2 linked regions of the Callithrix jacchus genome follow. The protein of the gene in region 2 purifies or fractionates together with the protein of the main gene of each other region. This does not show direct contact. Links are inferred from orthologs where the notes say so. Each region holds a gene or a part of one and is shown on either strand. Other genes may lie near its edges.

Region 1 (4,419 bases), on a different chromosome or scaffold from region 2:
ATTTCCCCCTATTATTCAGAAGGAAAAAAACAGAGAGAAATTGCGGAGAGTATACTGTATAGTAATTCAGAGCATGGGGTCTGGAGTTAAAACTCTCCAATTCAAATCCTGATATCCATTTAACCATCTGAATTCGAGCAAACAGCCTCATTCTCCGTGACAGAATTCCCCTACTATAAAATGTGGGTAAGAATAGTACCTATCCAAGGCCGGGTGTGGTGGCTCACTCCTGTAATCCCAGCTACTCAAGAGGCTGAGGCAGGAGAATTACTTGAACCAGGGAGGCAGAGGTTGCAGTGAGCTGAGATCACACCACTGCACTCCAGCCTGGGCAACAGAGGGAGACACTCTCAAAAAAAAAAAATAATAATAGTACTTATCCCATAAAGTTGTTGTAAATACTAAATGACATTAATAATATAAAAAGCACTCAGGCCACGGCCTAGTGCACATCGCCAACCTGTAACTAAGTTGCTTTCACAAACTCCGTAATAGGGTTTTGCTTTCCCAATCTAGAGTAGATGATATCTTAATTTTCACACAGTACTAGGGTAACAAATACCTCTGTTTGCCCAGCGCTTTTCCGGTTTTAGCACTCAAAGTCTTGTGTCTGGAAACTCCCTCAGTCCCAGAAAAACAGGGCTTGTTGCATACCCTACCCAGGACCCTAATCATCAATAGCCAGGCCATGAATGATCTTTATATGGAACTACAGAAGTGATACCTCTCTCTGATGCTAATAATAATGATAAAGCTACTTGCTATTATTTATATCAAGGTAACATCAATAATCCACATATTCAAGAGATATAGACTTTCCCCTTTTACTGACAAATTGCTCTAGTTTACAACTCCAGCTCCTTAAGAAAATTTACCAGCTAAATCTAAACGAATCTGCAAAGATTAGAATCAAATCACACTTTGGTTTCCCCACCACCACTCCAAGGGGACAGACAGCCTATGATTAGTGATTATAAAATTCTACCATATATATCTCAAAATGTCTGCTACTTAAGGCAGAAAAAGAAAAACACAACTTCTAACCAATAGCTGACCCAGTTCTTCATTTCCTCAAAACCTCCTATAAAATAAGGTTAAAGTGCATTTGAGCAAAAACGTTAAAAATATGAGACCACATCTTATTTAACTTTGTATCATTAGTACAGCACTTTGCTACAGAATTCAATATTCACCTAAGTACACACTAATGCAAAAAAGTAGTAATATAATTCTAATATTTTCCCTACTAAGTCTGTATTTTGAAAGACATTACAATGTAAATCCTGTTCCATAATTAACGTCCATGGGTGAAGTCTTGAGTTTTCTCACAAATTTTCACAAAATCTGGGTGACTACATTAGGAGCTTTCCTTTTATAAACTAACATTTTTGCTCATTTAAGTTTGCTGAAATGAGACTGCTTGCTAGTGAAAACAGAGCCCTTATTTTTGTTTTAAAAAAGTACTTTACCTTCACACTAAAAAGATTCACTAACCAGCTTAGAGATATATTCTTACTAAAAATTAAGGCTTGAGAAAGCAGTAGAAATATTAAAGGTGTATCTGAAATGGCAGTCAATGAGAAATTTAAGTTACTTTCTGGTATCTTCTATTGAGACTTTAGTACTATGCAAGTGCCTATAACAGGAGGCAAGAAACACAATATATTCTGGAAGTTTGGAGAGAGACATTAAAACATAAATGTTTACCTCTTTTTCTTGTTTTAAAACGCTGGCCTGATAGCGTTGGCTTTTGCTGCTTTTGATTATTCATAAAAGACACCCTAGGAAAGGAGTAATAAAGCCTTAATATCAGTGCCATAATACTCATTTTTAAAACAAAGCATCAAACCTTAGTCTAGTCACACATGAATCGAATGGAACACGCACTCTCAGCTTCCAATTATACCCGGTGCAGGCACAAAGAATTACCTTCACTTTAATCAAACAGAACGTCAAAATCTGCATTTTTCTCTACAAGAAACTCTTTAAATTAGTGCTGTGAACTACACTTTTAAGCGACATTACAGTGCTACACTGATGACCCATCCTAAACCTAATTGCTCAGTTTCCTCCACATTCCTCTTTACATTCACTTACATCTTCCACGACCACTAAGAAGCGCAGAACGCAGATTACCACCATAGTCAAGAGGCTTCCAAAACATGTATGCCAATTCTAAAACACTCAAAAGGTGAACCCCTTCCTTCTGACAGGCCTGGTTATGAGCAGCACCATCCTACCCTAGATCATGCCTGTGACCGCCGCCTTGCACCACTCAAGCCTGCAAAACTAACAGAGAGCAACCAGCCTAGCCTCCTTCGCCCATATCCCACAGTCCCAGCCTCCTCCCCGGGCACGTGTCTCCCTCTCCACACCCTAGCCTCCTGCCCAGGACTCCCTTGGCCACAGCGGGGCGCCGTAGGGTGCCGTGGCTCCTTCTCTACTAACCCTGTTGCCTGCGGTGGCGGCCGACGCAACGAACGGACCACAGACGCTGAGGCGCTTCGCTCCGGGGCCCCAGCCGCCCCGTACATCCGCCCGCCCTCCAGCGAAAGCAGCGGCGGAGACGGTGGCCGCAGTGGTGTTGGTGGCCCCTTTGCCCCTCCCGGCGGAAGCCTCCACGCGTATACCACCCAACAGAGGCCGCGGTGGCTTTGTTACCCAGACCAGGAAGCGCCCAGAGGGGGCCTCCTCGGCCACGGCCTTCGCCGCCGGCGCCGCGGCGCGCACCCTGACCCCACTTCCCGACCCGGCCACTGCCGCCCCTCGGCCTCCCTGCCGAAGCGGCAGCCTTTCAGGCCCAGGATCCGGCCGGGCCTCGAGAGGCGGCCTCCGCTCGGACCCATCCTAGCCGGGCCGCATCCAGCTCGCTGCCTCACTCGCCCTCTGCCCAGTGTCGACGGCCTGCAATGTCGGCTCGGGTTAAGCCGGGCGCCGCGCCTCACCGAATTTAAGGCGAAGAGCAAAGAGCCAGAAATCCCCAATGTAGCTGCAACTGCGGCGGTGTCTCCTCTGCGACCGGAACTAACGCCAGGAGGAGCGGGGAGAGGTGCCACCCCCGCCCGGACCGCTCTCCTATCGCGAGATTTCTTCCCCTGGCCCCACCCCGGCGGCCCGCCTAGATCTTGGCCGAGCGCCTCTGCCTTTTCCATTCCGCGCGGGTTAAGGTGAGGGACCGAAACAGGGGAAGGGAGAGACGTTTCAAGGCTTCTTTCTTCCCTTACTGGGTTCCACGTCGCCTGGATACCTGTCCTAGACTAGCTTATTTTTCTTCCGCCGCTGCGTCTTCTGCCCTGTTAACACACGGAGGGGTTGGAAGAGCAAAGCCGCCCCGCGCCGGTCTCAGAGTTGGACGAATCCCTCCCTACCGGCCCCCTCCTCCAGCGCCGGAAGTCGAAACCGGAGGGCGGGGGCGGATGCTAGGGGCGGGTCCGGGGGCGTGGCTTGGGGAAGGAAACCACACCTCGCCTCCGCCCCGGCTGGGGTGGGCGGAACTCGCTCCGGCTGAGTCCCTAGCGGGACGACTTTGCTCTGAGGGGCTGTCTCGTTCACTGCCTCCCTTAGGAGCGAGGAGGACACAAGCCGAGGGTTCAGAAGAGGCAATTCTGCCCTCCAGCCGCGGCCACCGCGCTCTGCAGCGGTCGTCTCCCAAGTGTGATGGCAGTGGAGACTTGGAGAGCATCAGAATCCCTTGGAGGACTTGTTAGAACAGATTGCTGGGCCCCACCCGCAGTTTCTGATTCTGTAGGCCTGGTGTGGAGCCCATGAATGTGCCTTTCCAACAAGTTCTCTGTGATGCTGCAGCTGGTCTACGGACCACACCTTGGGAACCCCTCAGTTAGAGGGTGTATCATCAGGGAGCTGGGGTACGATCAGATAAGATAGTGCGTGTGAAAAGCACTGGGAACCTGTCAAAACTCTGCTGATAGAGATGCACAGCGCCTTTAGAATGTAGCCCCATGTTTTTATTCACTGTGCCGCAGTTTGCTTCTCTCTGGTTGTTTCCCTACTTTCTGGTAGAAGGAGATTGGCTTCTCTTCCTTGAACCTTTTAATAAAATAGTCTGTATTAGTTGACTTCTTTTGCTTAATTATCTGACTTCTATCTCCCTACCCCCGCGCAACCTCATGGAAAATTTTCCTCAACTTTCTTTCCTGAAATTATTGCCAAACCCAGTGATTCTTTCATTCTTCACCGTTTGCCTCCGCTGAGCATTGAGTGTTACCTGTCTCCTGGAACGTGTCTGCAGTTATCCTGGTTACGCTCTGAATGTGCTCTTGCACAGTTATTTGCTGACTCTTCTGTACTGACACCTTTTCTTTCTGCATACTTTCTTCTGTGGCAGTCTCATACATTCTCAAGGATTTAACATTTACTCCCCTTAAAAGAGTTCCAATATCATCTACTGAATCATTAAGC
Region 2 (3,751 bases):
AACAGGGTGACTCTAGTCAAAATAACTACCTTTCAAAATAACTAAGAGTATAATTGGATGGCTTCTAATACAAAGGTTAAATGCTTGAGGCGATGAATACTCCACTTTCCATGACATGATTAGTACAAATGCATGCCTATATCAACATACCTCATATATCCCATAAATATATACAGCTACTATGTATCTACAAAAATTAAAAATTATAAGAAGAGAAAGGTCTCAAAAAAATCAGCCTAGTATTAATTCTAGAAAAATAATCCTGACTTCAGAACTAAGATAAATCTTTGCTTTGTTTTCTATTCTTCCTTATTCCCAACATTCAGACCAATCGAAAACTTTCACCTGTTATTACTGAAGATACTCTGGGATATTCCAGTAGAAGGTTTGAGGACAGGGCAAAAAAAAGACCCCTATAATTTTCATTTGAGGGAATACATTTCTGACACTGAAATGTAACAGCAAATGAAAAGAACAGGTTCAAAAGTTAGTTTGTCCTTGGACTAATAAAATGCACTCTGAAAGATATCTGAATTTGTATGTGTGTGTTTATTTTTAATAGAAATACTGAATCCCATGTAGGCAAAAGAGAGTCAAGTCCTGATTACCAAAAAAGCCTCCTGGTACCCAGAGTTTTCCCAGAATATTCTCACCACATCCTCAGCTCGCCTTTCCAGCCTCATTTCCCACTACTACTAACATGTACTAGGTTGTGAGGAACAGATGGGTTGTTAGGTCCAAAACATCCTCCGTGCTCACTCATATTGTGGTCTCCATCTGGGACAGCCTCCATCTTCCTTCAGAACCTACCTCCTCAATTAAGGCTTTCCTGTTACCCAACAAATGTGATTATTCCTTTCTTTACCCCAAGCACATTGGTTTTACTCAAAGGGCTTATTCTGTTCTGATATTACAATTATTTTTGGACTTAGTTTAGTACTGCCAATCTCCCCAGAATATAAATTTCCTTAAGACAAAGGACATCTTTATTCAACTTTAGATCCCTCAAATGTCCAAATGCATGCTCTGCATGCATGAAGTTCTCAATGTTTAATTCTTATGTATCCAGTCAGAGGTGGCTTTAGTTGATATCAATTTGGACTTTAAAAAAACATATATAAATCAACCAAATATATACATTAGGTTAGAATTAATTTTAAAATGAAAACAAGCCAGTATCATTAGAAGTTATTTTTTTAATTTCACAATGATTTCTGTAGCATCAGATAATAAGGCCCAATAGCAAAGTAATAAATGCAATTACATGTGCAGAAGCAAAACTTAACTTTTACAATTAGCTTTCTACTTCACCTTGCTGAAGAAAACTTCAGTAAAATCAACAACAAACATCAATATTTGTAAACCTAGTAAGCATAAGGAAAGGTAGGTTTTGAGCCCAAAAGATTCCCTCTTTCATCAAGTCTTACAAATCATTCTCTTTTTTTGGCATCCACAGGTGTATAGATTCTTAAGGTATACGTGATATGAACTAACAGGAGAAATTTTAATTTGGCACCCATGAGATATAAAAAAAATTAAGAGTTTTAAAAGGGAATTGACATTTACCATCTGCTTCACGTAAGAAGGATCACTATAGTCTGCCATTCCATCCTCAGGATTAATGTTTAACTTGTCTCGAAGAGGAGTCCTACCCGGCGTAGAGTTAATAACTGGTTTGGGAGTTGTTCCACTCCGGGGAGTCAGCCCTTCAGTTCCATTAGAAGGAGTCCTAGAAAGACAGGAATCCCAATTAACAGCAGCGCTACTTATATTTTAGATTGTGCTTTCAAATGTTTGTCACATAAATTATTTCGCAGGAAATAAAGAAATAAAGATTCCAGAAATTCTGTCTAGCTAGTTTCATTAGGCTCTCTAGGTTAAAATCAATGTTTGGTCGAGCTACCATGTTATTTAAACATAATATTTTTACTTTTTAACTGTCAATAGTCATTACATATGATATTTTCTAGCCTTTCTAATAAACTAGGTCCACTAAACATTATTTCAACCTTTTCCAGGCACATTAGGGCAGCTAAGAATATGCAGTGGGCAGGGAGATGGGCCACCACACTCAATGACCAGATTCCTCTTTGAATTTGGTTTTGTCTCCTCCCTAACAAGCTGTTGGCTCTCGCGCATCATTATCATTGTCATTACTACTGATGTACACACTTTAAATAGTTCCTCATTTTACATTTTGTTTAGAAACCAAATACCACACTTTTAGAATCCCATCTAAACATGAGTAAGCTCCTGAGGGAGGCCTAAGAGAGTCTCCTAGGAATTAGATCCACAGACTTTGCAGCAACCCATATTTTAATTATTCAAAGTCTTTTTTTTTCCTGGTTGCCTATTTCCTGTATATTGGTGTGTTGCAGAATGGTGATGCTGCCAGACAGCTATTCCTGATAGGTAAGGTGTTATCACATAAGACATGGTCCCTGTCCCCATGGATTTTACAATCTAGGTGACAAACAAGACGTACAGTTGTCCCTAAGTATCCACAGTGATTGGTTCCAGGACCAAAATCTGCAGATACTCAAGTCCCTGATATAAAATGGCATCGTATTTGCATATAACGTTTGCACATCCTCCCATGTACTTTAAATCATCTCTAGATTACTTATAACACTTAATACAATTTAAATACTATATAAATAGTTGTTATACTGTATTTGTATTTGTATTATTTTTTACTGTTGTACTGTTTGGGTTTTTTTGGGATTCTTCTTAAAAAATGGCAGCTTAAAACTAAGCAAAAGAGTTATAAAAAAATACTAATTCTAGTTAATGCATGTGGAAGTGCTTAGGGATCAAACAAACTGATATCTGCAAGTTACTTTGAAATGCATTTAAAAATATGATGAATTGATGGATCGATAGGTGATAAAGCAAATACACTAAAATACTAGCAATCTTAGAATCTAAGTGGTGGCATGATGATACGGATGTTCACTTTAGCATTTGTCAACTTAAACAGGTGAGAGACTGGGTCTCCAAAACAAGGAGTTTATTCAGGAACAACAAGGGATGACTGTGGGATATGCGTGCTATGACAGACCACAGGTATACCCGAGGGTGCTGGGGCAAGGGGAAGGTTTTAATGATAAAAGGGAGAAGTCCATGAAAACTGCTTTGAAATAAAGGCCACTGGTTACAGGGACTTAGCACAGGAGGTGGCATTTATTTTCATTGCCGATATAGATAAGAGCACCCCTTATCTGAAATGTGGGACCAGAAGAGTTTCAGATATGGAATTTTTTCAGATTTGGGGATATTTGCATTATACTGGTTGAGCACGCCAAATCTGAAACTTCGAAACTGAACTGTTTCAACGAGCATTTCCTTTGAGTGTCATGTTGTTGGTGCTCAAAAAGTCTAGATTTTGGATTTTCAGATTTAGGATGTTCAACCTGGTAGGGCAATGTCTTCACAGAAGCAACTTATCTGGAATTTGTGTGGTTTTCAGAAGATCTCTGCAATAATTTCTGTCATGGGCATATGCACATGAGGGTTCCTTTTTCATGAAAATATTACATAAGTGATTCCATTTCAATACTGATAACTTCCACACATTCTTTCAACCTCTCTAAATGCTTGATATTTTCAAAATAAAATGCTGGGGGAAAAGCAACAGTAATACATACACAAAAGGATTACAATCTTAATAAAATTCATAAAGTAATCATTAAAAATGAATCAATCTACTCTAAACTCAAATATAAAGCATTCAAAAATAACGTGACAGGAT

What was found. The genes of interacting proteins can lie anywhere in the genome.
Region 1: the proteins of CDC5L (region 2) and BZW1 purify together in Homo sapiens (affinity purification with mass spectrometry; 3 studies listed by BioGRID and IntAct, with this or other methods). This does not show direct contact. The link is inferred for Callithrix jacchus from reciprocal best matches to the Homo sapiens genes CDC5L and BZW1.

What each region holds. Positions count from the first base shown.
Region 1 is NC_133507.1:121,910,168-121,914,586, reverse strand, and holds the start of BZW1 (eIF5-mimic protein 2), read right to left. Parts: upstream 3,027-4,419; 5' UTR 2,535-3,026; coding exon 2,449-2,534; intron 1,782-2,448; coding exon 1,708-1,781; intron 1-1,707. UniProt on the Homo sapiens protein: Translation initiation regulator which represses repeat-associated non-AUG (RAN) initiated translation probably by acting as a competitive inhibitor of eukaryotic translation initiation factor 5 (EIF5) function.
Region 2 is NC_133505.1:52,877,991-52,881,741, reverse strand, and holds part of CDC5L (cell division cycle 5-like protein), read right to left. Parts: intron 1,730-3,751; coding exon 1,567-1,729; intron 1-1,566.